7 linked regions of the Oryzias latipes genome follow. The protein of the gene in region 7 binds, or shares a complex with, the protein of the main gene of each other region. Links are inferred from orthologs where the notes say so. Each region holds a gene or a part of one and is shown on either strand. Other genes may lie near its edges.

Region 1 (4,406 bases), on a different chromosome or scaffold from region 7:
TATAAACACCTAAAACACAATTTTGTCTTTAATAATAGATTCACTTATAAATTTGTTTGACCACATCTTAAACCAGTTTTATGCAGTGAGCTTTACATTTTTCAATGAAAGGGTTTGTCTGTGGACTCACTGCTTTCACTACCGTTTCTCAGGTTGATGAAAGTTTCCTGTTGGTTACCAGTGTGTTTCTTTTTGTGATAAAACTGTTCTTCTGCTCTTCCTCCAGAGGGCAGAATCAGATCAGCGTTCACACTCAACTGCCTGCTCCACCAAACAGTAGAGCACATTTAGAAAAATTGAGATTAAAAAACATTGTGTGAATTACTCCCCCAAGGTAATTAGCAGCAGAAAAAAACAGTTTTTTAAAAATTTGATTTTGTCTTGGTTGGATAGTTAAAGGGTTGAAAGAGTTTGATGACAACTTCTTGAACCTAATAAAAAATAGAGAAATTGTAAATAATATAAAAAATTAACACCATCATTTGGGTGGTGGAAATGGAGTGTTTTGTTTTTTTTTACTCCTTTTTAAGTAAACATGTTTAATTTTTCTTTTACTTTGGTTATAATCAGTTTTTTGCAAGTTACTTCCAAAACGTAACACATTTCTGAAGTAATGCCTTGTATTAAAAGAATTCTGGCTCAAAATCGCACTGCTTCACATGTCTCCTGAAGCATTACCTTTAAGCTTGTACCTGCACAAGCAAACCATAACAATTTAAAGTGGCATTTTAGTCTATACTTTTTTGAAAAGTATTACTACTCTAAAAAAAAGCCTTATGTACCTCTAAAAGACTAATATCCACAAATAAAATGCTACTTGAAGTAGGTTAATATGACCACCCTTAACTTACAACAACAGGTCAGGCAGATATGGATTTAAGGGGTGAAATGGACCTGACATGAAAAGGAAATAATTTTTTTAGGTCTAGTTATCCTAACAGGAAATTTGTCTCCATAATTTAATTTGAGACAAAAATGTGAAAAAGCGTACAGTGACCTACAACACCTATAGGCTACTGCTGAGGTGGCAAGTCTGTTGTAATACAAGAGTTACTAAACATTCACTGAGTGAAATGTAAAATATATTTATTGGTAATACTTTACATAACTGTTATTTTACAAAGTTGAGTGTTTGTGTAATTAAATACTTTTATTGTGAGTTACTACCAATTATGTTCATGGTATAAAATACATCCTGTTTTTTTTGGTGTGTAATTGTTATTATCATGAATTTTTTTAATTATTGTTTAAAGTATTTTATTATTGATGTTATTTTATATTCGCTTATTATTTAATTATGTGAAACCATAAAAGTACTGTTTACTCGAAAAATGATTGCAACGATTGAAACGCGAGCATTTAAATGACGTATGTTGCACAGTTTCGGTTTCCGCTCTCTGATTGGATAAATGGGCGTTTACGTAGCAATGGTCCGGAAAATGTCGTTCGGGCCAGTCCGAAGAAACTTCCGCCTCAAGTTGTAAAGAAAACACAGGAGCTAAAAGGCAATCGACGGAATAGCCAGCAGTTTAAAGAAGTCAGATCAAAGGTAGAACCAAATATCGTTTTTTTTTTACAAGTATAGGATAATTTGCGCAGCGCAGTCAGTTTGTGTAAGTGTTTAGGGCCGTTTGGGATTAAAGCTTCAATTTATTTGAGCTAGCTACGCTATTCAAAGCTAGCAGTTTGCTAATATCGATTCGATCGCTTATAGGCCTCAAGTGAATGTCTTTAAAATTAGATCGATTTACATGTGTGACTTAACACCAACAGGTAATAGTGCTGTTTTTTAAACATTGACATTACTTCGTTTTATTTAAAATACATTTCTTAATTTTATGATACGTCAGCGACTTAGCCTTTCTGATAGCTCGTTAGCACTACCACCTACTAGGGCTATCTGTATTTCGGTAGCTAGTGTTAACTGGTCAGTTTAGCTTCCAACTGAGACGAGCAGCGCTTCAGACACCATTATACGAATAAAAACTAGACCAACTTTGTCTCCTTTTGTTTAAGCATTTACACTCACCGTTTTCAGTAATATTTCATCTACGAACACTTGTCATTCTTACCTAGTCTGTGAAGTAGTTTTTTTTTTTCTAATGTGACTAGTTACTTCTTTACGTATGTTGCGTTTTAGAAACTTAGCGATAATAATATTGTTTGTCAAGTAATTAGATTTAAATTAGATTTTCAGTTAAGTTCACAGTGAGGTTTTGTTAAAAAAAAAGGAACATTATTAAAGCGTGCCACTCCCCTTAACCAAATTAAAAAAGTCAACAGGTTCTCTTACCTTTGGCGTCAAAACATAGCCTCTGTGTGGGCGGGTTAGCGTATGATTCTTTATTTTTCAGATTTTACTTTTTAGTAACTGCTATTAATCATCACAGAACAAACTACTATGTGGCACTGTAGATTTATTTGAAAAACTTTAATTTGAGTTTTATCTCTGCAGATAAAAAAAAAACATAAAACATTTTAGGTTAGGTAAGCCCCTATGTTGTTGTTTTTTGGGGGTTTAATGTAAATTCATAAGAGTAGTCTATAAATGTAGGTACAAAATTGTATTTATGAACGAATTATAGAGAATTATTTTAAATCTTAATTGAAATATCTTTAACAATAATAAAATTGGATTTAGATTTCATTATACTTTTACAATTATAATTAGCTTCTTATTTTATTAAAAACCCCAAGTACCCCCCCTGAAGTGGCACTTGGTACCTACCCCTTTGTGCTTTATGACTAATATATAGTCAGGTATTTTTTTATTTTCCTTTTCCTTTTATGGTAGACCCCTGTTATGGCATTAGTGAAACATTTACAAGCTGTAAACTAACTTGGATCATTTCTTTTTCTTTAACTTGAACAGGTCAAGTGTGACTGAAACCTAAGGCTGTCCATTCCAGCTGCTCTTTCTAATGGTAGCTGGAATGTCAGTCTATTTCCATTAAAAAAAAATCTGTTTATGGATTTTACTCTAATATTTGCGCCTTTGCACAATGTGCCAACAATGTTTTGAAATTTATATTTGAATGAATGGAGCTTGTAGATAGAAGAGCTACTTCCCCAATTAGGAGCAAGGCTAAGCAATATTCTGTTTTTCCTCTCGGTACCAAGTTCTGTAAATTATTTCGGCTCATATCTAGAAATTATTTTCTTGCGGAATTGGAACCGATGTAATTGAACAAGGACTAATATCTTTGTAAAAGTAAAACCAATGATTCACCATCAAGTTAATGGAAACCAAAAGCTGGTTTTTATAAAGATAATCAAATTTCTAACCTTCATCAATAACCGTCTATTGTTGTTTTATTTTCTTTGCAGGTCACTTGCATTCTGGAACTTGTGCGGCTTGTCCTGTGTGTGTGTATGTGTGTCTGTGTGTGTGTGTGTCTGTGTGTGTGAGTGATTGTGTGTGTATGTGAGTGGGTGTATGTGTGAGTGTGCGAGAGCTGCACTTTCTTTGTCACTAATTTAACAAGTGCTGCTCCTCCCTGGAGGATGACAATGGAGGAGATGAAGAATGAAGCGGAGACTAACTCCATGGTATCCATGACGCTGTATGCTGTGATGTTCCCAGTTTTTAATGAGGTAACATTGCCATCACAATTAAAAAATGAAAAAACATTAGTCCAAAAAATACATATTTTTTATAGAGTTTTAATTGAAGTTGACAGATGTTTCTCTTATCATAAAATCCAAATTTAGTACCTAAAGTAGAAGAATTGATATTTCTGAACTTTTTTCAAAATTTTGTAATAGTAAATGCTTCTCAAAAATTGTTTCTAATCTTTTCTCTTTTCTGTGAACGTTTTTGTTAACGCTAAGCACCGCTCTCTGTCCTGGTGTGTTTTGTTTTTTAATGGCCTGTACTTTTTTTCTTTGTTTCTTCTTTTTAGCTGGAGAGAATCAATCCATCAGCAGCTCAGACGCTCAGGGCAGCTTTCATAAAGGTGAGACCTCGTGAATCAACCAAGAGGAAATGTAAAATCATGTGATCCCACTCCTGTCATATGTATGTTGCAAAGAGTATGAATGTGTGTCATAGCAATTGGGTACAGTAATTTAAAAAAATAAATCCTATTGTTGAGTTATGCGTCTTCATGGTTGGGGAGGGCATCTGGAAATTAAATGAATGACTTCTGCTTTAAAAAAGAAAAAAGCTTTTCTGTGTTTAACTTCCTTCATGTTGAATTTAGCTTTAAAAAAAAAGAACTTGCTGAGATTTTTCACCAAAGTCATTTTTCCATTCACCTTCTTAAAAGCAACAGAAATTAATAATAATAATATTTTACATCTTTTATAATGAAAAAGGATAAAACAAATTTCTTTGCTTAAAAAAAAAAACAAAGTAAAATACTAAACATTCTTCTTCCTGATGGTTCTCCCATGATCTCCTCACA
Region 2 (3,819 bases), on a different chromosome or scaffold from region 7:
GGCTACGGAGCCGTTAAAAAAGGGTTGGTAAAGTTAACACAGGTCAGGGGTACGAGACCAGGTTGCCATGACGACTGAAGACGGTGCAAATGTCACAGTGCGAGCTCGAAAGCTCGAACCCCCCCACCATCAAACAGTTTGGATGATTTGGCTTTAAGACGCCAACTGAAACACTCGCAGCGTCCTGTGCAGCAAGTTGGGGTTTTTGTTGTTTTTGTTTTTTTAAATCAAAACCACACCAGCAGTATTTTACCCACAATGCAATGGCACCCCCACCCCCAAACCCATTCTCTCTCTCTCTCTCTCTATATATATATATATATTTATATTTTATTTTTTCGTCACAGCAGTTTGATCATCATGGATAAACTGTTCACAGGAGATAGAAATCCATCACCACCCAAGTTTACTTTCTTTATAAATAAGAACACTTTGCCAGAAGGAACTAATTCATCGTCCACACCAGAGGAATTCTGGGAAAAAAACAAAACAGGAAAGCTATAGTGTCGAAGCTGGAATGTCCACATTTCATCTGGAGGGTGGGGGGTTACCTAGAGGTGGAATCATTCTGTACATCTGCAGCAGATCGTTACGGGAGTCGGGCATCATGGGAAATTTAAAAAAAAACAACAACAATAAACAAAAAAGCACAACACACATTCACAGCTGATAAAAAACATTCTGGAAACTTTCTCCACACTTTTTAAAGTACGACAGGAACGCTCAATAGATGTAGCCCACAAATAGTTTCGATGCAAAACTAAATATATGTACATCATTACAAAGAAAGCAAAAAAAAAAAAAGAACAACCAAAATAAGTTAAATTTTTTTTTCTGACAGAAAGAAGCTTTTCCAGCACATAACAGGAAAATGTACACATCCAAAATGTCTTCTCCAGTGCTCTGTGTGCTCACTGGTGTGCAGGAAAGCCAGAAGCATGAAGCAAAGCACCATCCAACACCCCCAACTAGCAGCCGGTGCTCACAGTGTCTTCAGTCATTCCACAGACCCCCCCACCCCACCCCACACCGGGTGGCGTCTCCGAACCTCAGACGAGCTCCGCCTTCATGAAAAGCAGCCGTGAGGGGAAAACGGGGTGAACTCACAGAAATGAACGGATGCGGTTAACGGCGGGGGCTAGATCCCTCTCGGCGTGGAGGGAGGGGCCCCGTTTGTCCTTCACGTCTTCTTGGTGCCCTCACTTCGGGGACAGATCCTGCAGCGAGGCGAAGGGGGAGTTGCTGGAGGAGGACGGGGACACGCCCTCCATCTTCCCCGGGGAGTCGGTGGAGGAGCCGATGCTGCTCAGACTGCCGTCCAGCAGGTCTGGAGAATGACTGGAGAAGACAAAGAAGAAGAGAATCTCACATCTTACACCGAAACAACAAATACACAAAGATGTCTTCTTTGGAGACAACTTTGTCTTTGAAGCCCATCGACCCACAGGGTGACTGTTGCATCAGCCTCAACATGAACATGGCTGTTTTATTTCTAAAAACAACAACACAGATTCTATCTGGTTCTGTTTACTTATGATGTAATTTGGAGAAGTACACGGCGCTCTGTCAAAACGTTTAACCAAAGTAGAACCACTGAAAAATGGCGCCTGTCATGAGACTCGCTTACACAGATTTCAACCTCAAGGCCATCGATCACACAGCGGAACATGGGAATCAAGCAGAGAATTTAAAGGGCCCATATCATTATCATATATCAATTTATATGCACACTATCCACCATCTATGCTAAAGTATGGATGTTGTTTGCTTTTCGAGCGGCGACACGCCGCCGAGGCCGACTCTAGGTTGACGTCACCCACACGGAGCGAAAGGCGGAGCCTCAGAGATCAAGCCGGGTTGGAAAACGGGCTGCGAAAATGACTAATTTAACAAAGATTGTGTTCTTTAATGTGCCAAAGATATAATATAGGCCCTGTAACATGAATAAATCAGTGGTACGGAAATGTAATCTGCACCAATCATAGAAGAGTTTCCGAGGGAACAAAACCATCCAGCTTACGATCCGGAATGCCTTGTAGTGTGGAAAACATAGTGCAGGACGTTCCAGCCGCCTGGATTTTGATTACATTTAGACCCACGGTTCCTGCTTGCTTTCTTATCGCCTTTTCGCCGAAGTAAAAACCTAATAAATATGAACATTTGACCAAAACTCTGAAGATGAAAAAGTGGATGATAAATACCACATCAATGGACGTACATTTCGTCAAATGACACATTGTTCATACACAATGCACTGTGGTCTATATTGAGCATCGATGCACACTAGGGTTGTGTCCGAATTCCTTCCCTACTCAATATAATAGAGCGTTTGCCATTTTCTAGTGCTGTCCATTCCAAAATCGAGTTCCCTAGAAATTTCCCAGAAGTCTTTGCGACAAACCAGTGTGCATCAATGCTCACTAGATCGGCGAATATAAACCACAATGCATTGCATCGTAGCAATTTTTGCCAAACAATTTATTTAAATGTATTATTTTTAATAAACCATCAGTTTTTTATCTTCAGAAGACAGTGGACGATAAATAATCGTCGCAAAATGCTCATATTTATTATATTTTAACTTCTTGAATCCATGATGTCATATCCACCGTTTAAAAACAAAAGTAGTGAGCGTGGTGTCTGAATTGCTTTTAAAATTCAGGGCACACTATATTGTTTTTTAGTAGTAAGGGGTTAGGGCAGGAATTCGGAAACAGCCTAGTTTTTTTGCAGAGACTTCTGGGAATTTTCCAGGGCATTGGGTTTGGCCGCAGCCCAGATGAACCGGGCGGGTTGGTGTCGATTACCAGGAGCTGAGGTCAGACAGATTGGAGGCGTCTGAGGACAGCATGGTGGTGGTGCCCTGGAAGAGTCTCTTCGGTTGACTCTCCGTCTCCATCTCACCTGTCAAACAAAGAGAGCTGATGTTTGGAAACAAGAAAACTTCTGCACCGAGTTTATTCCCTCTAACTGAAAACTCCGAAATCTGCGATCCGTTCCGGAGAAATACAGCACACACATTTGTTATCCGAGATCGCCGATACACAATGCTTATGAATATGGAAAAGTATAGTAAAAATACATTCAGGTGATGTCATTATGGCTTTAAAGTTACGAAATAATGTCGCATTTTCAGTACAAACATACCAAATGTGCTACACTTATTTAAAGTGGATAAATATATCTATACATATATATATATATATATATATATATATATATATATATATATATATATATATATATATATATATATATATATATATCTATATATATATCTATCTATATATATATCTATATATATATATATATATATATATATATATATATAGATATATATATTTTAAGATCTGTGTTCTTATCGGTTGTTTAGTTGATTCTCCTGTTTCAAATAAAAGGTATAAATGATGATAATTAAATCAAATTTTTACACGTCCAATAAAAAAAAAAAACCTCCAGCAACCATTCAAACACAATACATTGAATTGTGGATCTAATAGGATAGCCACTTAAGTAAAGTAATTCTTTAAATAGCGATTCTATCCTTAGATTATTACGACCAGAATGCAATGCTTGATATTTCGCACGGTATCAGGCCGTGGCACGACTTTTTGTGAACGGAAAACCGTCTCACCTTTACGCTTCATTGGGCCCAGAATGCTGGCTCGGATGCAGTTGATTGGACTCTGACTTCGCCTGCTGAAGAAACCGGATCCAACAAGATCAAGCCATTTTATTTAACCTTTTTTTTTTTTTTTTAAAGCACCAGAGCTGTCGTTGGTGACACCAAATCACACGAGCTCCTTCAATTAACATCAT
Region 3 (3,819 bases), on a different chromosome or scaffold from region 7:
CACCTCAACTCTGTCAGAAACCGAGCCATGAACCAGTTTCCTGTCACTTAGCACCTATTTTTCTCATCATGCTACAAACAAATTACACAATTAAAAGAGTCGGACAGTACAGATCCATTTATTGTAAAGCTTTGGCGTGCCACAGTTTGGAAAATTCAACATTTAAGCCTCTAAACAGTCTAGATACCTTAGCACAAACGCCTGTAGTAACAAATCTGCTCAAATGCTCGGTTATAACTTAAAAATTTCAAAGAAACCTCAGTCAATTACCCACAACTAAGATTTCAAAGAGGAAAATCACAATGGTTGAATCAATAGTTGTGCAGTGCAGCATGGAAAAACAACCTACGTTCTCCGTCAGTCATTTAAATACTCCTTGACTCAGCTCAGGAAGTGCTCACTCATATCCATCATAATAATCTCTAGTGTGGACTGAATCACTGCAGCACTGACTGCTGTGCTCTAAAAGGCTGCAAGTGACTCACTTTTACACTGTGGGAGGAAACGATGCAGCTCAGGACACCTGCGATCAACACAAAATCTATAACACGCCGGCCAAGAAGATGTTCCAGAGTGCTGCTGGGCCTCTCGTTAAAACACCCGATTGTGTAACTCCCTCGTGTATTAATCCACTTGCTAATCGATATTAGATTCACATGTTCACTAAGCTGATGGATGCAGGTCTATGAAGAAAATCATAGCCCATGTGCATTTTAAAATCCTTTTTAATGATATTTAGCCATGGAGATAAATATTTCATTTGAAATCAATGATATTACTATCAGAAGAGAAACAGAAACAAAGTTTCCTGGAAATCTCCTTTTAACTAAATGAAAACAAACATTACAAAAGTGCTGTATGAAGTTAACTGATCCATAGATACCAGTGCCTTGTATTCATTATATAGTTCCTTGATTTTTTTCATGCCTGGTCTATCGTAATGACATTGGGGAAATACAAAAACATTTATAAATGTCATTTCCATCCTACAAAGAAAAAGCAAAAAAATAATCGCAAGAAGTTATTTTTCGCAGATTTACTAAAATATGGCATTTGATGTATAACGTGCATCATAAATGTCATAATGTACAAAATGTGTATATTTTTCATTTAAAATCTTAAAGAAAACCTAAATTTAGAACGACATGATAGATAGCTTATGGAATGACCTTCAACCACAAATCAAATTGGCTAAATCGATAATTAAAAATGTTCCAAAAGTTAGAACATTGGGAATTCTTAGTTGTTTTGTCCATATTTTTAAGCAAAATATGTGTGTGCTGGTGTTTGCTATTAGGTGTACATTTTTCCTGTTTGTTGTTTTTCGATAAGTAAAAAAAAAAAGGCTTTATTATTTATTTGTTTTATTTAATAAGGACAGTGCACATTAAAAGCATGGCTGCAATGCGTCAGAATTAGCCCAAAGGCTATTTTTCATCTGTAGTCCCCGGACAGATGTTAAAATCGTCAACCATTATTTAATAATGCTTTCCCCTTTTACTGTCACAAAAACAAATTGTGCGTTGTATTATTATCATTATTATACAATCATTATGAAAGTTGTTTTCATTTTAGGGTAACTATGATCATTTTTGCAATAAAACTTGCATTAGAAAAATAACTTCAAGCAGCAAAATCCTGTTTTACTTATTTAAATATCAAAAATCTATCAATACATTCATCTTCTTGTGTACCAAACGTGACTTGAACCCCACCTTCTGCGGACTCTTCCAAACAGGCAAAGAATCAACAACCTGATCTAAACTTTTGTCCCAAACACAAACACGATTCTCACTCTTTTCTGACAAACTGCTGGACAGCTGTGCGCAACCTTTGGATGGACGTCATGTTTCTTTCATGAATCTAAAAAGGGAAATGACATTTCCACGGGAATGGCTCACCATATTGGTGATGTCCGGGTATGCAGACTCCACCAGCACCCCTCTGTAGGTTGAAACATATTCAACTAGCTCATTGAGCGTGGCCCTCTTGATCTCCTTGCTCTTCAGGTCCGTCACGGAGTCCAGGAAGTCGAAGAGAACACAGCACTGGTTAAGCTTCTGCATGAAGAGCTCCTGCTGCTCGGCAGAGGGGGTGTCTGGAACAATAGGAGGAAATGAGAGAGGAATTCATTCACTTCCGACAGGCACAAAAATGGCAAAACACACGAGGCAAGTCCACTCAGTTGGCTACCTTTAGGTTTTAAATTTTTTTAGAAGAAAAACATTTTTTTCAAGTGGTCACAAAAACCAAACATACAATGCCCCCTTAAAAAAACAGCCTTGGCTTTGACAGCAAAGCCCTTCAGTCGTCAAGCTTAACCCAACAAGACCTGGCAGGCGTCCAAAAGCGCACAGACACGCTGTCCAGTTATGTTGCCGTCCAGCAACCCAGCCGCCCTTTGTGTAACCGTAGCGAGCAGCTACAGCTGAGGTGAAGCCGCACGCTCGGTCTGATTTACAGCAGCTTAGCAACCAGATACTCCAAAGGTGATGGGGTTATACTAAATTATACGGTGTCCACGAAAGCTTATTGCGCTGAGGAGCAAACGGTCTTCATTAAAGTGAATGTCTCAGATCCATGCTTAATTAAATTCTAGACATTTTTCTGGCCTACTATAAAATCTCAAATTCTCTTGTTGACCAACTTTAACTTGAAATGAGAAAAGGTTTTTAAGGAAGTAATAATACATTCTTATTGTACATGTTTGTGTCATTGACTGTATACGAGAACAGGACCTAGTGAGTGTAACACTCCAATGAAAAGAAGTCAATTTGGTCGCAAATGTTCCCCAATACAGACGTTGCCACGTTGGAGCCAGATAATTTCAGCAAACGGCAATTGGTCCAAGTTGGTCCACATTTCTACGGCAACCACTTTTGCCACTCAGGAGTGAGCTTGTTGAAAGGCCACACCCCTACCACTCGAAAGCTGGCTAAGGAGAATCTGTCCATCAAACATTTCAAATGTCCAATGTAGGCCTGCACAATATATCGCAAATTTATCGTTATCGCAATTTCACGCTGTGCAATATGCATTTTGCAAAAGACGGCGAAAATCGCAATAAATGGTTACCTTAAATATGCTAAAACAATCTTATGGCAGCTTGAAGTATTTAACGAAACAAACAAATCCCTTTATGTATTTCACCAATCAAATGGTCTCCTTTACATCATAGACCAACGGGATGGAGGCCTTTTATATTAGATGTCCGTCTCCTATGTAGATGTTGGTCATTTGTAATGTCATTTTTAAACTGTTGCAGTGAAATGGAAATGATGTTTTTGGTTGTTTTGCTATATGTTCATCATCGTCATTGCAATATCGCAGTTTTCCTGATATTGTGCAGCCCTAGTCCAATGTAAGATAACATACTTTTGAGGGATCCGATTGGTCAGTTTAGTACTTAAATGACTTGCAATAAAGAAAAAATATATATGACGAAAAAACGAGGACTAGCAAGAACATGTTTTTTAAAGAAAAAGGTAGCAGAGCAAGAATGGTATTTCTGACAAATAGAATGACTGAGTAATAGCTGTTTATTTCTCTATAGAAGTCTATGGGGTTTTGGCTTCTTGGAGCCACCAGGTACTTCCTGTTCGGAATTCCAGGGGGAGGGGTTTCTCAGTCCAGTTTTCATTTACAGCCAATGGTTGGTATAGACTAATTTGAAGTGCAGTGATATGCAAGTAACTGTAGGGAATTAATGGGGATATCAAAGCAGTTTTAGGGTGAATGGTGTAAAAATCTCCCTTTGATCCAAGTCTTTGTGAAGCGTTAAGGTTAATGCTTTCAGACACAACACACTGTGGACTAACA
Region 4 (4,272 bases), on a different chromosome or scaffold from region 7:
CCATCATTCTAGTCCAACGTGTGGAAACAGAGTTCTGCAAAGACATGTGACCACTCAGTGTGGTAGAATGTTCTAATCGTGTTCCTTTTTTATTATTTTGATGTTGAAAACAACTTTATGACAATGTGAATGAATTTGCCATTAATTCTTGATCAAATCGGATCATTTAAATTGAACAAATATACACTATGACTCGTATCGCAACTACAAATGATATGAATCAAATAATTGTTGAAAATAAATTGTTATACCTGTATTTTTAATTTTTCTAAACAAAACTGTATTTCAAATGGTTCTTCGTACCTTCAGCGACATCATCATCGATGGCTCCTTTCACCTGAGAGAAGCACCACTGCATGTCACCTCCAGGTGCTGTGAGAAGAGAAAAATGAGTGGATTATCTTCAGTGACTCTTCTTGCCGTCTGCTTCAAACACCAGAATGACTTAACTGAAGAAGATTTTATTGACTTAATATTGCTCTAAACCTAGTGAAAAATGCTTTTTAAGAATGACACACTTCGTTGTCATCTGCCAAGGAGCAAGACAGAATTGAAAGTGGCCAACATGCCAAAGTGCAAGAAAATCATATTAAAAACCAAAAAAGTACAAATCCATACATAAAGGGTGACTGGGTGTTGACAGTATCATTAAGGAGCCTGATGGAGCATGGGTAAAAACTTTTTCAAGTCTGTTGGTCCTGGCTCTGAAGGACCTGCATCTCTTCCCTGGTGGCAGCAGTTAGAACTTGTGCTCAATAATATTCATGAATTACTTCAGAAAAGATCAGTGTTGGGACCTGTCTGAGATCCAGGGTCTAACAATGATTCCACTGACCATTACCGCAATATTTTAATGATCATACGTGCACACATGCACCACCACTTAGGTAGAAAACTGTGCAGCATCTTTTTTAAGAAAGTGATCATTCACACAGAATTTTCAAAATACACGCAGCCAGAGCTGACTTTTTCTTTGGTTGCACGGACCCGGATGAAGGGTTAGGATTAGGTTAATACACGCGACCAACCACAACATTTAGACTTGGCCGTACTTAAAATTTGTGCCGGTAATGCAGGAATGTGCATCTGTCCGCTAAACATGCAGCCAACATGAATTTCCATCAGTTTTTTGTGTTTGGTCCCACATAAATATGTGCAAATAACATAAGCTATATCTTAAAACATTAAGATACACCACTATTACTCGAGACAGTCTACACCTGCAAAACCAGTTCTGTTCCAGTGAGTCAACTCACAGCTATAAAACTACATGATCTTTTAATTACAATAAAAGTGGGTGCAGTCAGTAACTGCTAGACTGTTCTCTTCATCTTAGGTCTTGTAGCTGGTTAACAGCGGTCATGCTGAGGCCTGGTTTAAGAGGAACTCAACATACATGAACAATTCTGGCACTGCAATCATTGTGGCCACTTACAAAACTGAAACCGAATGTTTCCAACAGTCACCTTAAAGCAGGTTGACGTAGCAGCACATACTTTAACAGAGTACATTTTGTAGGATAAACAAGCCCAAAGGAAGCAGGTACAATCATTTCTGTGCATACACACCAGAAAGAGTCAAAACACTCACTGGAGGAACAAAATATCTCAAATGTTTTATTGGGGAGTCTTGTGCAATGCATTTGTCTAAAAATGTGAGTCACTCAAAAAATGGACGACGTGCAAGCATTCCACACTTTCCATGATTGACGTTTCTGCTATGCCTTTAAAACCAAATTTAAAATCAAAGTCTGCTATAGGGGTGGGGGGTGAGGCCCCCCCACCCACTGGAATCACAATACTTCGCTACTAAAGTAAAGCTAACAAATGAATGAAAAACATCGCAGAGAAAGTCTGAGCATTCTCTACAGATGAAATGGTCGTTATCCCGCGCCTCTTGTAGCCTTTGAAGCAGAAACTGCGTGAACATTTCCCTCAGAGCTCAGTGGGCCCGCCTGCTAGCCTGCATGTGAGCAATGTCAAAGTTTGCGCTAAAGCTAGCAATGACGGCTTGCCAAGCTAGCCGATGCATGTTTGAGAACTGTGGCGCTACTTTGAGCTTGCCCTAACGTTTGGGTTAATAACTCGCAGCCTTGTGTGTTGTTATTCCATTAAGAGGTTTGCACAGAAGTATACCAAAAGAAAACCTCCGTGTACGAGCGAAATACTCGGCCATTAGCTACAAAAACTTAACACTATTTCATGCCGGTGCCACAAAATTATTAACAGATTTGGCTAAACTGCCATGCATATCATTATCAGGTTAGTAATGCAACCTATTTGTGTAGATAACAGCAAAACAGCTGTAACGGTAACTGGTAAGCTAGCTTTAACCGGCAAATGTTTCTGTTGTTGCGCGAGGACAGTCGAGTTCTGTGAATAGCTTAGGTTAGCACTAGCCAAGTTCGGCTAACTAGCTATCGTTAGCTAAAACAGAAATGAACTGGTGGGTGAATAAAACCTGACTCCCGGAACGCAGAGACGACCAAGAAACGACGTTTTAACAATGAAAAAAAACATTTTTTTTCAGAACGTTTAACACAGTCCAGACGAATTACCTGCCATGGCGAGACAGACAGTGGAGCTTGCCTCAGTCAGTTGGTCACGATCCTGCTTCCCACTCCCACGCGCTGATTCGTGGGATCTTAACTTTTTTTTCCTCCCTCCCCCCCCTCCTCCACTCAGCCTCTGTTCACCGAGCAAAGCAGAACAATGTGTGTGTTTAAGTCAAACTGCGCGGTTCGGAGTTCCCGCTCGTCTCTTTGCTGCTCCTGGAAACATTCACTCCCCCGCGGTGGTGCTGGTGTCTCGCGCTCTCTTGCCGCCGGCTGCTCCGCATCCCAGAAGTCAATTCTTCAAACTCCCCTCGAGTCTCTTCCGCACGTGAACCAAACCCTCTTTATAATGTGCACGCGCATGACGGATGTTTTGTCAAAGATTAGAAAGGCCTAAAAGCAGGGCTCTGCAACCTTTAATACTTAAACAGAACCAAAAAATATGACTTCATCGTTTAGAAAAAATAGGACACCGATATGTATTTATGTTATTGTTATGATAAACATAATTTTTTTTTGCATACAAAAAGATTAACATACAGAGAAAATATATATTTTTCAAAATATGAAATAGTTTATAACTTTTGACAGAGGTTGACATGACATCCTTTCAAAATAAAAGACACCCTGAGGCCTCATAATCCGGTGCACCTTAATTTTGGTTTTGCTCACTGACCTCCAGTTGATTTTCTGTGGTACATGGCGCACAAAAATCTGGCATAACGTTTTCGTTCAACCTGTTAATGCGTACTGTTCTTCAACTGTTTGTGTATGAGGTCATTTAAGTCAGTTTGCTTTTTTTCTTTTTACTTTACAGTTACTTATTTAAATTAAAAACGTTTTATTTTTCTGTAACCAGAGAGCCAAATTCGTTTTGGAGCTTCAGTCAGCAGACATCTGGATTAAACCAATGGTCACACTGACCTGTTTGATACTTTTACTGCTCCGTTATACTTTAGCATGTTCATGCTTAACATTAGAAAAACTAAGTTTACTGCAAAAACGTCTTTGATTGCATTTAATTAACCTGCAAGATATTTAACAGCTAAGTTTAAAAGTTTAAGATAAATTAGCAGAAAAAAGTAAGTTTTTAAAAATTAGAACTGGTCTGATGGTATAAAATATAATATGCTAGCTGAGCAAATTAAATACTTTAAATAAAATATATAATAGAAAAATTTAAAACCTAAAAAAGGTTTAGCCTTGACCACACAGCTACATTTTTCTGGTCTCAAAAGTCAGATTTTTGTTGTTGGTAATGTTGGCTTTGTTGCCCCTCCAGATGGTTCTACTAAAAATGTGAAGGTGGTTCACAAAATCTGCAAAATCGAATTTGTTTTTAAGGTGAAGTCGTTACCCCCAGAAACCCCCCACAATTATTAATTATTTTTCAAATATAAATATACCCATCACAAACCTTTTTACCCATTTTCTTTGTGAAATTGCAAAGTAGGATGAATCAATTAAAAACTCAAAAGGAATTTATAGGTTTAAAAACTTGGAACCCATTTGAAAAATACAATCTGCTGATGCTCTTACTTTTTCCTCCCCATGTTTTTAAGTTTCTAATTAATAGGAATATGCTTTGTATTTTTCTTTTTTTATACGTGATTTCTTACTGTGGGTCCTTTTTTCTTTTTAATTTTTTTTTTATTCATAAACATCATACAGTATGCAACAAAAGTGTGAATGTCAAGGGGGGAAAAAAAGTACATTTT
Region 5 (4,387 bases), on a different chromosome or scaffold from region 7:
CAGTCCCAGTGCAGATTATTCTGACTAGCATAGTAATGATATCAAATAAATATGACAGTTTCTGGTATTATCAGAAAACATTTACTAACAATCCAAGTGCTCCCACAAATGTATATTTAGAATTTGCTCAAAATTTGATCGCCCAGTGACTTTAGAATTTCATGTATACATCTACATGGTTTTAATTTAATGTCTTTTTTTATTCATTTCTGACCTTAAATGCTTTTGACATTTTGTGCTAGATGTTTTAGAAAAATAAAGGTAATTCTTGAGAAGCATTTTTGTCATAAGCCTGCGCATTTTAGGTCACAGCTCAATATTTTCTGTTAATCCTGGATTGTGATTGGGCATTTAGGTCCGACATTTTAATTATTTTTAGTATTTTTTTCAAGTTTCAGTGCTTTGTAAGATATTTTGCCTTAAGAAATCTCATTCACCTGACCTAAACAACAGCTCAACAACTATTTCGCCATCACAAAGTTAATTACCAACAAGCTGCTTTTAGGAGCCATCATTCATTGTTTTAAAGCCTTATCTCATATCAGGAAGCTGAATGATGTAAACAGAAACAGAGCTGCTTATTTATCAAGCAATTTGAAAGTTCCTGCATCTTTTCAGTCTTTTTTTTTTTGTATTGTTTGGACAAGCTTCAACTTGTTCTCTTATTTTGTCATTTAGCAAATCCCTTCAGCATTTCCAGCAACAGCTTCTGCAAACAGCATTCACACTTGCATTATTGAAGGTAATGCAGTTTTCTAGTTTGAATAAACTAAATGTTTTTGATGTGTTTGTCACAGAATTGTGTTGAGATGAGCTCCGGTGTCTGTGGTTCTGCAGGTTCTGGAGGGCAGCTGACCAAAATGCGTCCCCTTGCTGCTGGACCAGCCAGGACTCCTCTGAGTGGTGAGTGATACAAATGGACCGGGTCAAGTGCCTTTCCTTCGCTGCAACCATCTTTGGAGTTTCTTCATTACCAGTGACGGTTCCTGGTGCGGTGGGAGGAGAGGGTTTGTCCAATAAGGCGTCACAGAAAATAACATCTATAATGTATTAAAACATTTGTAGATTCTAATCAGATGAAGTACAGTACCTGAACTGGATCCACCCTGACCCATTTTCCTTAGCTCAACTTTTTTATTGTCCCATAATAAACTTTTCTTCAGGGAAAACACTTAGCCTGAGCACTTTTTCAAATGAAAAAGAAAATAAAGTCAAATCTGGTCTACTTTTTAACAATGCTGTGGAACAGAGAATAGTCAGAAAAAAGTTTGCAAGCATTTTTCTTTTATTTGATAACATTTTTTATTTCACTGAGTCAAAACTCATTGAGATCTTCCGGTTCGGACTTGGTTCTTCTTAAAGCCAAATGCAAGGAATTTTGTTGCTGGGGAAGAACTCCCTGGCCGCCCTGCAGCCTCGCCCTGCAGACTCGCTGTACAACCGTCAGCAAATCAGAAAAATCCTCGCAATCGTCGCCAGGTAGGTGTGCAGAAATCCAGCCAATCAGCTTCGCCAATACTGGAGCAAGCGCGGGGAGCACAGACAGACCTAGTGACAGCATCTAGGTCCCGTGGAAGATCATCACGGAGCCTCGGTGGATAATATCTGCAGCGCAGACAAAATGCCAAACAAAACCAAGAAGGAGAAGGTAGGCCGGCAACTGTAGTGGTGCAGCTTAGGTGTGTTTCGTGGGGAAATATGCCGGAAAGCTGCGTGACGCGCGCGGCGGGGCTGGGTTACTGAGCAGTGGGAAGCTAGCCCGCTAGCCGAGCAGGCCTTGCTAGCAGCGGTTGGAGCCCCCCTCTTGCAGCGGTAGAGTCGTCTCCGAGACTTAAGCGCGTTCACTTTTCTGAAACTACACGGACCTCCGGGTGTTTAAGGGAAAACCGCCTACCCGCAGACTGTTAGCAGTTATCCACAGCAGAAGTTCGGGAGGAGTCGCTCATGCATGATTCCAAGATGACCCGTGGAGAGCAGAGTCTCTCTGCGCGGTCCCCCCCTCACCTGCTGCACGGGCATGGCAACAGGCTGCTGTGGAGGCGGCGGCTCGCCTCTCTCATCCAGTTTTACCTGCTTGGCATCTGCGACCGTTCAGATACTCGGAGACCGCGCCGGTAACAGGCCGGAATCCCCCCACGTCCCCTCCCCGGGTCGGTGACACGTCAAAAGTCACACGCGTGAATTTGCAGCGACTGGAACGTTGCATTGATCAGCTGGTCGATTTACGGATGAATTATGGGTTCGGGTGTCCACTTCGTTGTCCATCTGAGTGTGCGGTGCACCGTGCACGAACCCCCCCCCCCCCCCCCCCCCCTCTCGGTTGCGAGTGTCTGACTGTCCGCTGCTTACTCAGTTATTAATGAGTCACCTGAGCAAGGCAGGATTCAAACCATTGATCTTGAGTGATGAGGGGCCCCAATTCTAACAGATCACACTTTTTCAAGTTACTTTTTGAAATCGATATAACAAAAGTTAACACGGTTTTTGAGACTTGGATCTAACTACAGCAAAATGAGGAAAACATTCCAAGAAACAACTGAAGAAAACAAAAACAGCTCAAGAAAATTTCCCCTTAAGATGAACAGACGGGTAAACATGATTTACTATTATTTCCAGTTGTCATGGTCCTAAAGACTAGGAAGCTTAGTGTCTTTTAAAATATTATAGACATCTCCTAATGTGTTTTGGCGAGAGTGCACGAGCCCTTTAACCCTTAAGGGTACCGCCCCCAGCACCAGTCCCAGATGAGGCCCACCTGTAGGGAGTCATCAGTGGGACTGCAGGTGGGGGCAGCAGGAGCTTCATTTCTAGATGTCTGTGTCTCTGCAGGAAACGGGCAAATCTGCAAAGAGCAGCAAGAGCAGCAGCAGCGGGAAGGATGCCGCCTCTGAGAACTCTGATGAGGTAAGGGGCCACCAGCAGGTCTGATGAATCCAGTAAAGCTGGTCATGGGGAGAGGGGGGGGTGTTATGAGGCCCTCAGCAGGTCCTAGCTTCACACCTGACAGGCTTTTCACACCTGCTGAGAACAGACTGCCTTCTGTTTGGTTTTATCAAAAGGTTTCATGTTGATCTCGGCAGGGAGTACGTTTCTGTATGCATGACTGCCTTTGATGGATACAAATCATAAATGCTTTAATGAGCAACAAATAAATCTCAAGTCATGGAACAAAAAACAGCTGCTAAAGATCTAAACAGAAAATAAGACAGGAAAAACTTCAAATCAAAGGGAACCAGTCAAAGTCTGCCCATTTAAAAGCCTTTTAAGACGCTTTTTGAAACTGAACTGAGTCGACTACATGCAGGTGGGGGGACGGGGCATCCTGGAATCTGGGGGCTGCTGCCTCAAAGGAAGTTTGAGACGTATCCTCAGGACCATAAGAAGATTTAGCTGAAAAGTGCCTCTTCCCCTCACTTCAGGGGTCAGGTGTGTGGACCGTTGTCCCTTTAGTGGCCACCGTGATGCGTTCACAGCAGCCTGTCATCAGAGTTTTCAGGTCTGCTTGTTAAGGCAGATTGCACACATATATATGGTTTCACCGTTTTTTTGGTCTGGGGAATGTGAATGTCAGTCGGCGCTGTGTGCTCACCTGTTTGAACTTTTCAATCACTGGAGCAGGGCAACTGCAAGCGCAACAGCAACAGCACACCCCCTCCCACCCAGCTCAACAAGATCAAGTACTCTGGAGGCCCCCAGCTGGTGAAGAAGGAGCGGCGCCAGAGCTCGTCCCGCTTCAGCCTGACCAGGAACCGGGAGCTGCAGAAGCTGCCCGCCCTTAAAGGTGTCCAAAACCCTGACCAGAACCGCATAAATCTGTGGCTGAGGTTGGCCTTTAGGTGAGCTTTGTTTTCCCGTCACTTCCCTCCTCAGATGCCCCCCCTGTGGAGCGGGAGGAGCTGTTTGTGCAGAAGCTGCGTCAGTGCTGCGTGCTCTTCGACTTTGTCAGCGACCCGCTCAGCGACCTCAAGTACAAGGAAGTGAAGAGGGCGGGGCTTAACGAAATGGTGGAGTACATCACGCACAACAGTGACGTGCTGACGGAGGCCATCTACCCTGAGGCCGTCATTATGGTGAGGCGGCGGCTAGCCTGGGCAGATGTGAAGTTGTGATGAGAGCGTGCTGAACGGCTTCTCTGTGTCCCTTCAGTTTTCGATGAACCTATTCCGGACGCTGCCCCCCTCCTCCAATCCAACCGGAGCAGAGTTCGACCCTGAGGAAGACGAGCCCACTCTGGAGGCAGCCTGGCCCCACCTGCAGGTACTGCTCCTGCAGCAAAGTGAGGCCCAATCGAAATGTTCCTGCATGTCTGAATAGAAGAGTTTGGATGTATTTCTTTACTTTTTGTATTCATCCTTTACTCTTTTTTTCATAAGTGCCCCCATACAGG
Region 6 (4,433 bases), about 12 Mb from region 7:
ACCGACATCCCTTACAACAAACAAATAAGAAAATAAAAGGTGTCTACCGTTTAAAAACACAGCAGAGCAAATAAATTCATTCCATCCATCTTCCTGGGCTTATCCGGGACCGGGTCGCGGGGGCAGCAGTCTAAAAAGAGATGCCCAGACCTCCCTCGCCCCAGCCAGAAATTCATTCATTTTACTAATTTGGCACGATTACATAAATGTACTAAAAATATAACGAGTTAAAGAAGAAGAAACGGGATTAACAAGTGGAGGTGACATCTGAAGAGTAGCGTCAAAAAAGATAAATGCTACAAAAAGGATTTTTTAAAATAAAGACGACATACACAAAAATTGTGTTGTTGTTTTGCTTTTGCATTTCTGTACTTAATTCCTTACACTTTATTTCATTTTGAAAATCTTTCATTTTCTTGACAGTGTCCAACAATATTACTCCAAATCAGCAGCAGTCTAGCAGGTGGCAACAATTGGTTCCCTTTTTCATTTACTAGTTTACAAGAAATACATAATTACAAGAAAAACAGATTAACTTGGTACATTACTAACTCTGAAAGAAAAATACAATTGCATAAAAAAACCCAAAACGTATCTTTTTTTTTTGGTAGTTTAATCACTCCATATATAGCCAGTTTATAGGATTTCATATATTTCTTGGACATAAGCCAGCAATAAACAAACAAACAAACAAACTATAAACCCACTTCAGACAAAAAGAGATAGTATTTACAAAACGGTATCTTACTTTGCCATGGTATCTGCCGACAAGTCTTCAGGATTTTTTACTTTGGTGTCACCTGCAGGTTTAAAGACGAGTTTCAGAATTTCTTGTTACGCTTACCAAACAAAAAAAAAAAAGCAAAGCATTGGTTCTAAATTTATATATAAACACATTTGTGTAGAGTAAAAAAAAAAAAAAAAGTTAAAATTCCTCACAATGTATTGCAGAGAATGAGAATGTTAGTCTTTCTGGAGAATATACTACAGGGTGGATAAAATTGTTAGTTAAAAATCACCTGAAAGGATTCCCAAGCTTTCTCATCTTACCGTGACAATCTCAGATTAGTTTTCTTTTTTTTTTTAAAGAGTAATGATTGGAAAACTTATTCCATCATTTTTGCAGAAAAATGTCAGTTCTACAGAAATTATTTTACATTTAAAAAATGGGAAAAAGTCATTTGTTCCAAAGCCTACAGAGTATTTTCCTTACCATGAGCTCGCAAGTCCATGGCAACCACCCTACAGGTAATCATGTTGGATATGACTGACTGTAGAGACATATACAGAGGTCATTTCAATCTGTATTCTGGGCAGTCTTGCAACACACATATTGTTATTATTACTCGTTATATTGGTGTACGATTACTGTTTAAGAATAGGGGATTATGCAGTGGTAATGATACCCACAGTAAACACTGCCCAAGAAAGTGCAGAATGGCCTCCTCCATGGAGCAGCAACAGCACAGGACCAAGTGAACCACTGCAGTAAATTCTGAAAATGTGTTGTGCGGTCAAGAAAACAAAACGCAAGGCTGTAAGCACTACATTAAAACGCTAAGCAAAACTAAAACCTAGACCAGGAGTCTGCAATGTGGCTCCGGAGCCTCATGTTGCACAAAAAAGATGCTGTTGCGTTGTTTAAAACCTTTTTAGGAGAACATTAGTTGCAATAGGATGACCCTGTTCGGCACAGGAAGTCTAATTTTGAAAGGAAGTCATACAAGCTTCTGTCAAAAGTAAGAAAGAAAAAGAAAAAATTTCACACTTTGAGAAAAAGCTACTCTCACTTTATATTTTTGCTCTATATTCAAGCCAAAAATAAAGTAGTATCAACTTTTCCTAAAGGGCAAAATAAGACTTTGTGATTCCAATGAGATTTTGATCAGCAAGAAACAGGCCCAAACGGCTCCTTTACTGCTTAAGGTTGCAGATCCCTGGCCTAGACGAAGAATTTGAAAAGCATTTGAATCTTAATTCCATGATATGCGTAAATCAAAACAACAAAAAATCGTCACGGCATTCTTGTGAAACAGAGATTTTGGGAAGGATATATCTTTGCCATTTTCATTTTCCACTTCAACATCCTCCATGGTTTCAAAGTACTGACTCCAAAGCAGTGGAGTAAAATCTTTCTTCCGGCCAGGTCTATAAAAAAATATAAATACAAATAAAAATGAGGGGGAAATCATTATGTACAATATACATACTATCTGTACCTCCAAACTGTGGTTTGACTCCATATTACCCATTAGTAAATTACTGTTTCTATTCTGCTGGCTGACACACAGCTGCCCCCTTTAGAGGCACGACTTATGCAGAAAACGAACCACTTTAACGAAGTTAATGAAAGAGTCATCTTCATAAGAATGTAATTACACTTTTGGATTAAATCAGTAAAACTGTATTGTAAACTAGATTTTGTTTATCCTTTGGTGGGCGTAACGGGGGTCTCCTGGATCAGAACATAACAAGTACGTATATATATTCTGATTTTTTTCTTAAAGAAAACGATAAGCTCTACACAGCATCAGCTAGACTTTGTTAACTCAAAGGAGTTATATGTATAAAAAAACCTCTGCAGCAGCTGCAGAAGGCGGGTCGTGCCTACTCTATAAGCGGTAACTAGGCTAGCCTAAATGCTAACTAAATATTGGTTTTCCTTCAGCTGTGTCTGGCTTTTCGGCGAGCTATTATTCAGACAAAAGTTCACAGTATGGCTTTGACAAGAGGTATGAAGAATAACACGCAAATGTAGATATAAAAAAACCCTTTAACGTTTTATGAACTGTTAGCTTCTCACCCCATCTTGATTTTAGAGCCAGACTGAAATCCACCAGGACCAGCCATTGGAGGTCTGGAGGCCAGCAGGTTTAAATGCAACTGTTTCTCCATGCTGTGAGGAAAGAGCGCTCTGTCAAGAGATGTCTAATATAGCCTTCCCTTTCTTTTGCTGCATAAGATAGTTTCTGACACTTGTACTGACGTTAACCAAACATTTGATGAATCGCTATAGCATACAGGCTAACGGCTTCTTTGTATTTTCCGTCTTTCTTCTTGTTCTGCGTAGTTTTGAGGTGGTTTTCTACTCATTTTTTGAAAGTGCTGCCACCTAGCGGTAAAAAAAGTACATTCATATCTCCAACGAATGAACAAGTAATCATCAAAGCTTTTTCTGTGCTTTATAAAATATTCATTTTTCTCAATGATTAAAATCGTGTCTTAAAAACAACAAGTTGTCGTCCATTAGACTGGTAATCGGCTGAAAAGTCTTTTCTCTTCTGCTCCCTCCCTTTTACACTGTAAGGCATGTTAATATTAAACGCTAGTCCCTCACTCATTACAGTGATGATGTGATGTGTCACAATTTGTTTATACGCATTTTCACAACATATTTAACAGTATTTTTTTTCTGAATCACAAAAATTGAACTTTTGTCTTTCCTTCTCTCACTCTTTACTGAGCTGATAATATTTAGGGATGTAACTATTAATCGATTTATACTCCTACAATCCAACCAGATCGATATGTTAAGGGAAGTTGTTAACTGAATCAAATAAAATCACCTGTAGCATCATAACATTGTTTCAAAATGAAATAATGCCATTTTAATCAACGTTGGAAAATGCAGAAATACAGTCCATCATTCCACTTTGAAATTAGGAAAGACATATGACCGTACAGTATGATAGAATGTTCTAATGAGGTTCTGTTTGTATTATTTTGATGTGGAGTAACAATAGTGGGCTGAACTTCAGGAAACTAAAATGTGAATGGATTTACCTTAAATTCTTGTTTACTTGTTTGTTTGTTCTTATATTTAATTTACACTTGATTATCTTGCAAGAAATACAAGGAATCTGGAAAACTTCACCTGCACTGTTTAGTATCCAGGTATTTATCACTCAGTCACACTGGTTAAGTTTTTTGTTAAAGATTCCCTGGATCCATTTTAGGCCATTGACTTAGATCAAATCGGACCGTTTAAAATTAACCAATATCGACTATGAATCACATCACCAACCACAAATTATTATTTGAATTGAATGATTGTAAAAATAAATTGTTCTTTTAACAAACCTTGTCTTGGACTGCATGTAAAGTAAATAAATGTGCAGAACGGCAGCTCTATCTGGAGAACATAAAGCTGCTTGGAACTCATTGAGCCATAAATCACCAAAAACTGCAAGATAGTTGAATTCTTTGTCTGTGTTTGCAATAAACACGTCAGTATGTTATTGTAGTGAAGTTATTACATTGATACCTTAGAATTTATAACATAGACCAAATTTTAAATGTGAAAAAAAGGTGTGGGGGTATACAGAAAGAAGTTTTCTTAGGAGATGTTACTTTTAAACTTTAGAAAGTGTCACGTGACATTACATAAAGGTGTTTGCCATTGACCCATATAAACTATTTTTTGATAACAAGCT
Region 7 (3,819 bases):
TTCCACTTTACTGCAGACGTCTAGAATATTCCATCAGGCTTAGTCACTCAATTGCTTTGGAGGCACAAGCTCTGGTCAAGCTGCCATCCTGACTCTGGCGGCTGAAAGAGCCTGTGCCACATGGTGGTAAAGCCACAGGACGGATACGTGGAATATAGGTCAGCAGTGTGCAGCGTTGCATTGGCTGCATCGCTGCCAAGTCCCAGCCTGCCAGCCTCGTTGTTTGGTCGGAGGAGCATCGTGTAAATGCTGACAAACACCACACCTCCAGCATGGATTTTCCACATGGATACACAAAAGAGCTTTGAAGGAGCCAGTCATGCAACGTTGGTCTCTAAGAACGGGTCAAAAACCCCGGCTTCAGGGCCAGTCCTGCACATGTCCTGCCTCTTAGTTTCAGCCCTGCTTAGTCTTGGTACCAAACCTTTATTCACATAAACCTGTCAGAAATAAACTCAGAGAATAGACTCTGATTTCAGTCTCCACATTTGTTTAAATCATACGTCTATTTTTAGTTTGATTTAGGCCACCTCAGTGTAAAAGCAGCCTTACAGTCAAGGACTTGTACTTTGAACATTTGCAGAATGACTCAGACTCTGCATCCGCTGCTTTTAGACCTCTTTGTGGGAGGAAGCAATAACAGTCCAAATATACTTTTTTCCCAGCCTAAAGCTGTATTTTTCTGAGTGTTTAACAGCTATGGCCATAACACATGTAATAAGTTGAGCCCAATGAAATGACTTCTTTGTTTTTCATTTTAAAATGCTAACGATCTCTCCTAGTTTTAGCTTTAGGGGCCCCATTTTCATTTATTTCTGGTGGTATTTGAGCACAGCCAGAACTGTTTGTTCTACAGCAAGAAGGACACAAGCGCACAGCCTTAAGAAAGCATTTATGCTAGCTGCAATATCATTGACAGGAAATGCTGCATCCTGAAGGAACCATGTAGGAATTTGCCCAAACACACCTCTTGTGGATTGTAACGCATTTGCAGTGTTGCTCACTCAGATATAAACTCAAAATAATCTGCACATTTCAACGTCTTGTCTCTCTGTTATACAAGACACTATCAACTCTTTTTCTTGTTTCTTTTCAGGCAAAGGAGATTCTAACAAAGGAATCAAACGTCCAGGAAGTGAGATGTCCCGTGACGGTATGTGGTGACGTGCACGGCCAGTTCCACGACCTCATGGAGCTGTTCAAGATCGGAGGGAAGTCTCCTGACACAAACTACCTGTTCATGGGGGACTATGTGGACAGAGGGTACTACTCCGTGGAAACCGTCACTTTACTTGTAGCACTAAAAGTGAGTCATGGAAGACTTGTGACCCCTTTTTCTATTAAAAAGAAAAGGTGTTTTCAAATGACCGTTTCGTGATTGTGTTTTCAGGTGAATTAGATTTCTCTGCTTGCATTACAGGTACGATTCCGGGAGCGCATCACAATCCTCAGAGGGAACCACGAGAGCAGACAGATCACACAAGTTTACGGCTTCTATGACGAGTGCTTAAGGAAATATGGAAATGCTAACGTTTGGAAGTACTTCACAGACCTGTTTGATTACCTCCCCCTCACTGCCCTGGTAGACTCTCAGGTGAGGAACCCCTGATAGAAACCAAAACGATCACAACAGACTGGGTTGGCTCTGTCTTGCCATTTAACCTAGTAAAGGTAGTTTTAAGATGTTTGTTTTAAACTGGAAATCTTGAGAAGATTCAGAGCTAATTCTGTGGGTAAATGAACTTCTCTGTTATTTCATCAGATTTTCTGCCTTCATGGAGGCCTGTCCCCGTCCATAGATACATTGGATCACATCAGGGCTTTGGACCGTTTGCAGGAGGTGCCACATGAGGTAAAAGTCTAAACCTAAACATCTGCTGGTGGCATTTTTTCTGATAATGGAGGACATTTATCGAGAGAATTAAGAATAAAATAGCATTTCTGAATATTTCTTTATTAAAATCATTGTGAATCAGGAGCAGATGAAAAAAGGCCATTTGAAAAGGAGCCTATTTGTGGGCGGGGCCACAAGCTCTCCGCTCCGCTCCGCTCCAACACTTGTAGACGACTAGATCCATGTACGTCTTTGTTTTCCTTGTCTGAGTTGGCGTCTGGCTCAAAACTTTACGGCTCGATAAAGGACTACAGCTGCTCTGCAGAAACTGTCCTTAAAAAAAAAACACAGCTTTTTAAAATTTAGGCTAAAAACGGCATAATCATAATGAAAAGACCACTGGGAAATCTTTTAAAATAGATCCAAAAAATAATCAGAGTGGTTTTTACACCTACTGTGTTTAGTTTTTAACTACAAATAAAACGCCACCAGGATAAATAGCCTGTTGAATGTGTTTGCGGTCAGAATCGGGAGCTGGCCTGTTCCAGTTCTAACCTGTGATCTCTGTTTCCAGGGTCCCATGTGCGACCTGCTGTGGTCGGACCCTGACGACCGCGGCGGCTGGGGCATCTCTCCTCGAGGAGCAGGCTACACTTTTGGTCAGGACATATCTGAGACCTTCAACCACGCCAACCGCCTCACACTGGTCTCTCGAGCCCACCAGCTGGTCATGGAGGTGTGCATAGTTCAAAAAACCTAACTTTGACCTAACGTTGACTTTTTTTTTTTTTTTTTTACTTTTCATCTGGAAAATGTTTACTATTTTGAGCTTATTAAGACAAACAGTAGAACTTGTGTTAGTTTGTTTTGGATCATTTTCTTCCTGTAAATAACACATCTGCTCTCTTCAGGGTTACAACTGGTGCCATGAGAGGAACGTGGTGACGATATTCAGCGCTCCTAACTACTGTTATCGCTGTGGCAACCAGGCAGCTATTATGGAACTAGATGACACCCTCAAATATTCCTTGTAAGTACATAAATTAAAAACATCAGATGCAATAGTTTAAGGTGGGAATTGTAACTTTTGCACGTCTTAAAATACTTTTCCTTTCGTCCTGCAGCTTGCAGTTTGATCCTGCGCCTCGCAGAGGGGAACCCCATGTAACCCGCCGCACCCCGGACTACTTCCTGTAAACTCTAACATTAGACCCATGCGTACAGTCCAGGCCTAGAATGGCATATACGGCTGAAAATAACTCAAATGTGGAATGGGATCCTGGGACACCGCTCGGAGCATCACAGCAGTGCACATTGTATATCCACACTTAGACCTATTTAAGCATTTTTGTGTCTGTGGGTGGACCAAAGGGTGTGTGTTCCATTACCATTTTAATAATCAGTGCTGACGACTGTACTAAATATCCCCTTTCCTCTTTAAGTCAAGTGTAAATTCCTTCTTTTGTTTGCACGTAGCTGGACTAATGGCACCAATCTCCAAGATTTCATTTTTGGCACTTTGAGTCACACCAGCTTTGGCTTATATTAAGGAAAAATGCGTACGTTCTGTTTGCACTTTTGTAAATTTAAAGAAATGTAAGTTATAAAAAAAACATGAAAGATTCACACTGTTATGTTTTTTTAAATATTGCAAATCAATAAAATTCCCCTAAATCAAGCTATACATAAGGCTTTGTTGTCCTAACTTTTTAGACTGATAAATGCAGTTTGGTTTATAAGATGCTGGATGTTCAATTTCATTCATTCATGAATTCTATATTATGTAATAGGAAATTTCAACAATAAAGATTAAGGTGACATTGATGTTTTTGTTTATTTTATGCTGCTGAAAATATTAAAAAGGTGGCAATTACTTGGGGTGGAGTAAAGTTAAATTGATTTGCGTTTATTATATTGCAAAAATAAATGAAATGAAATAAAGTGGGTCATATAATTGGCTTAGGAAACTGTTCGAATGGACACGT

What was found.
Region 1: ppp2ca (region 7) and pdcd10 share a complex: the UniProt entries of both Homo sapiens proteins name them as parts of the core of STRIPAK complex. The link is inferred for Oryzias latipes from reciprocal best matches to the Homo sapiens genes PPP2CA and PDCD10.
Region 2: the proteins of ppp2ca (region 7) and fam122b are in contact, whole or in part, in a cryo-EM structure (PDB 8SO0), measured with the Homo sapiens proteins. The link is inferred for Oryzias latipes from reciprocal best matches to the Homo sapiens genes PPP2CA and PABIR1. Residues at the interface, in NP_002706.1 of Homo sapiens: Arg89, Gln122, Val126, Tyr127, His191, Trp200, Pro213, Arg214, Gly215, Ala216, Leu243, Met245, Tyr265, Cys266, Arg268, Cys269; in NP_612206.5 of Homo sapiens: Asp95, Leu96, Ile97, Arg99, Glu100, Thr101, His103, Glu104, Arg105, Val107, Gln108, Met111.
Region 3: the proteins of ppp2ca (region 7) and ppp2r5a are in contact, whole or in part, in a cryo-EM structure (PDB 6NTS), measured with the Homo sapiens proteins. The link is inferred for Oryzias latipes from reciprocal best matches to the Homo sapiens genes PPP2CA and PPP2R5A. Residues at the interface, in NP_002706.1 of Homo sapiens: Arg121, Gln122, Gln125, Tyr130, Asp131, Leu134, Ala140, Trp143, Arg268; in NP_006234.1 of Homo sapiens: Glu146, Glu147, Glu149, Thr281, Lys283, Lys316, Phe317, Trp318, Pro319, Lys320, Thr321, Ser323, Gln324, Lys325, Ser362, Ser363, His364, Phe365, Trp407.
Region 4: the proteins of ppp2ca (region 7) and serine/threonine-protein phosphatase 2A 55 kDa regulatory subunit B alpha isoform are in contact, whole or in part, in a cryo-EM structure (PDB 9C6B), measured with the Homo sapiens proteins. The link is inferred for Oryzias latipes from reciprocal best matches to the Homo sapiens genes PPP2CA and PPP2R2A. Residues at the interface, in NP_002706.1 of Homo sapiens: Arg89, Tyr91, Val126, Tyr127, Gly128, Asp131, Arg135, Cys266, Tyr267, Arg268, Arg295, Pro298, His299, Val300, Thr301, Arg302, Arg303, Thr304, Pro305, Tyr307, Phe308; in NP_002708.1 of Homo sapiens: Tyr86, Leu87, Lys88, Ser89, Ala173, Asn174, Ala175, Glu190, Asn201, Leu202, Trp203, His204, Ile207, Thr208, Asp209, Arg210, Ser211, Phe212, Asn213, Ile214, Val215, Asp216, Met256, Ala260, Leu261, Asp263.
Region 5: the proteins of ppp2ca (region 7) and ppp2r5d are in contact, whole or in part, in a cryo-EM structure (PDB 8U1X), measured with the Homo sapiens proteins. The link is inferred for Oryzias latipes from reciprocal best matches to the Homo sapiens genes PPP2CA and PPP2R5D. Residues at the interface, in NP_002706.1 of Homo sapiens: Arg89, Tyr91, Arg121, Gln122, Ile123, Gln125, Val126, Tyr127, Gly128, Tyr130, Asp131, Leu134, Arg135, Ala140, Trp143, His191, Trp200, Arg214, Ala216, Leu243, Met245, Tyr265, Tyr267, Arg268, Cys269, Arg302, Arg303, Asp306, Tyr307, Leu309; in NP_006236.1 of Homo sapiens: Ile80, Lys82, Asn188, Pro189, Ala192, Glu193, Phe194, Asp195, Glu198, Asp199, Glu200, Ile288, Tyr289, Glu290, Glu292, Lys332, Val333, Lys334, Lys367, Phe368, Trp369, Pro370, Lys371, Thr372, His373, Ser374, Pro375, Lys376, Ser413, Pro414.
Region 6: the proteins of ppp2ca (region 7) and ppme1 are in contact, whole or in part, in a crystal structure (PDB 3C5W), measured with the Homo sapiens proteins. The link is inferred for Oryzias latipes from reciprocal best matches to the Homo sapiens genes PPP2CA and PPME1. Residues at the interface, in NP_002706.1 of Homo sapiens: His59, Arg89, Gln122, Val126, Tyr127, Asp202, Ile211, Ser212, Pro213, Arg214, Gly215, Ala216, Gly217, His241, Gln242, Leu243, Met245, Phe260, Tyr265, Cys266, Arg268, Cys269, Thr304, Pro305, Asp306, Tyr307, Phe308, Leu309; in NP_057231.1 of Homo sapiens: Gly84, Gly85, Met157, Asp181, Val182, Thr186, Ala187, Ala190, Ser193, Met194, Phe197, Leu198, Leu291, Trp298, Trp301, Phe302, Lys316, Val323, Asp324, Arg325, Leu326, Asp327, Lys328, Thr331, Ile332, Gln334, Met335, Gln336, Gly337, Lys338.

What each region holds. Positions count from the first base shown.
Region 1 is NC_019880.2:9,011,015-9,015,420, reverse strand, and holds the start of pdcd10 (programmed cell death protein 10), read left to right. Parts: upstream 1-1,419; 5' UTR 1,420-1,549; exon of another isoform or gene 1,550-1,773; intron 1,774-3,327; 5' UTR 3,328-3,504; coding exon 3,505-3,594; intron 3,595-3,902; coding exon 3,903-3,956; intron 3,957-4,406. UniProt on the Homo sapiens protein: Promotes cell proliferation. Modulates apoptotic pathways. Increases mitogen-activated protein kinase activity and STK26 activity. Important for cell migration, and for normal structure and assembly of the Golgi complex.
Region 2 is NC_019868.2:26,644,310-26,648,128, reverse strand, and holds part of fam122b (protein FAM122B), read right to left. Parts: intron 3,700-3,819; coding exon 3,635-3,699; intron 2,905-3,634; coding exon 2,808-2,904; intron 1,339-2,807; coding exon 1,200-1,338; 3' UTR 1-1,199. UniProt on the Homo sapiens protein: Acts as an inhibitor of serine/threonine-protein phosphatase 2A (PP2A) activity. Inhibits PP2A activity by blocking the substrate binding site on PPP2R2A and the active site of PPP2CA.
Region 3 is NC_019882.2:6,262,317-6,266,135, forward strand, and holds part of ppp2r5a (serine/threonine-protein phosphatase 2A 56 kDa regulatory subunit alpha isoform), read right to left. Parts: intron 2,099-3,819; coding exon 1,902-2,098; intron 1-1,901. UniProt on the Homo sapiens protein: The B regulatory subunit might modulate substrate selectivity and catalytic activity, and might also direct the localization of the catalytic enzyme to a particular subcellular compartment.
Region 4 is NC_019870.2:24,073,898-24,078,169, forward strand, and holds the start of serine/threonine-protein phosphatase 2A 55 kDa regulatory subunit B alpha isoform, read right to left. Parts: upstream 2,870-4,272; 5' UTR 2,565-2,869; coding exon 2,558-2,564; intron 373-2,557; coding exon 304-372; intron 1-303. UniProt on the Homo sapiens protein: Substrate-recognition subunit of protein phosphatase 2A (PP2A) that plays a key role in cell cycle by controlling mitosis entry and exit. Involved in chromosome clustering during late mitosis by mediating dephosphorylation of MKI67.
Region 5 is NC_019873.2:12,867,861-12,872,247, forward strand, and holds the start of ppp2r5d (serine/threonine-protein phosphatase 2A 56 kDa regulatory subunit delta isoform), read left to right. Parts: upstream 1-1,322; 5' UTR 1,323-1,621; coding exon 1,622-1,648; intron 1,649-2,829; coding exon 2,830-2,904; intron 2,905-3,618; coding exon 3,619-3,781; intron 3,782-3,870; coding exon 3,871-4,070; intron 4,071-4,146; coding exon 4,147-4,257; intron 4,258-4,387. UniProt on the Homo sapiens protein: The B regulatory subunit might modulate substrate selectivity and catalytic activity, and might also direct the localization of the catalytic enzyme to a particular subcellular compartment.
Region 6 is NC_019872.2:16,425,263-16,429,695, reverse strand, and holds the start of ppme1 (protein phosphatase methylesterase 1), read right to left. Parts: upstream 3,079-4,433; 5' UTR 2,896-3,078; coding exon 2,804-2,895; intron 2,149-2,803; coding exon 2,055-2,148; intron 1,504-2,054; coding exon 1,411-1,503; intron 1,272-1,410; coding exon 1,214-1,271; intron 801-1,213; coding exon 749-800; intron 11-748; coding exon 1-10. UniProt on the Homo sapiens protein: Demethylates proteins that have been reversibly carboxymethylated. Demethylates PPP2CB (in vitro) and PPP2CA. Binding to PPP2CA displaces the manganese ion and inactivates the enzyme.
Region 7 is NC_019872.2:4,047,677-4,051,495, forward strand, and holds the end of ppp2ca (serine/threonine-protein phosphatase 2A catalytic subunit alpha isoform), read left to right. Parts: intron 1-1,096; coding exon 1,097-1,306; intron 1,307-1,420; coding exon 1,421-1,594; intron 1,595-1,762; coding exon 1,763-1,852; intron 1,853-2,408; coding exon 2,409-2,570; intron 2,571-2,745; coding exon 2,746-2,864; intron 2,865-2,958; coding exon 2,959-3,031; 3' UTR 3,032-3,658; downstream 3,659-3,819. UniProt on the Homo sapiens protein: Catalytic subunit of protein phosphatase 2A (PP2A), a serine/threonine phosphatase involved in the regulation of a wide variety of enzymes, signal transduction pathways, and cellular events.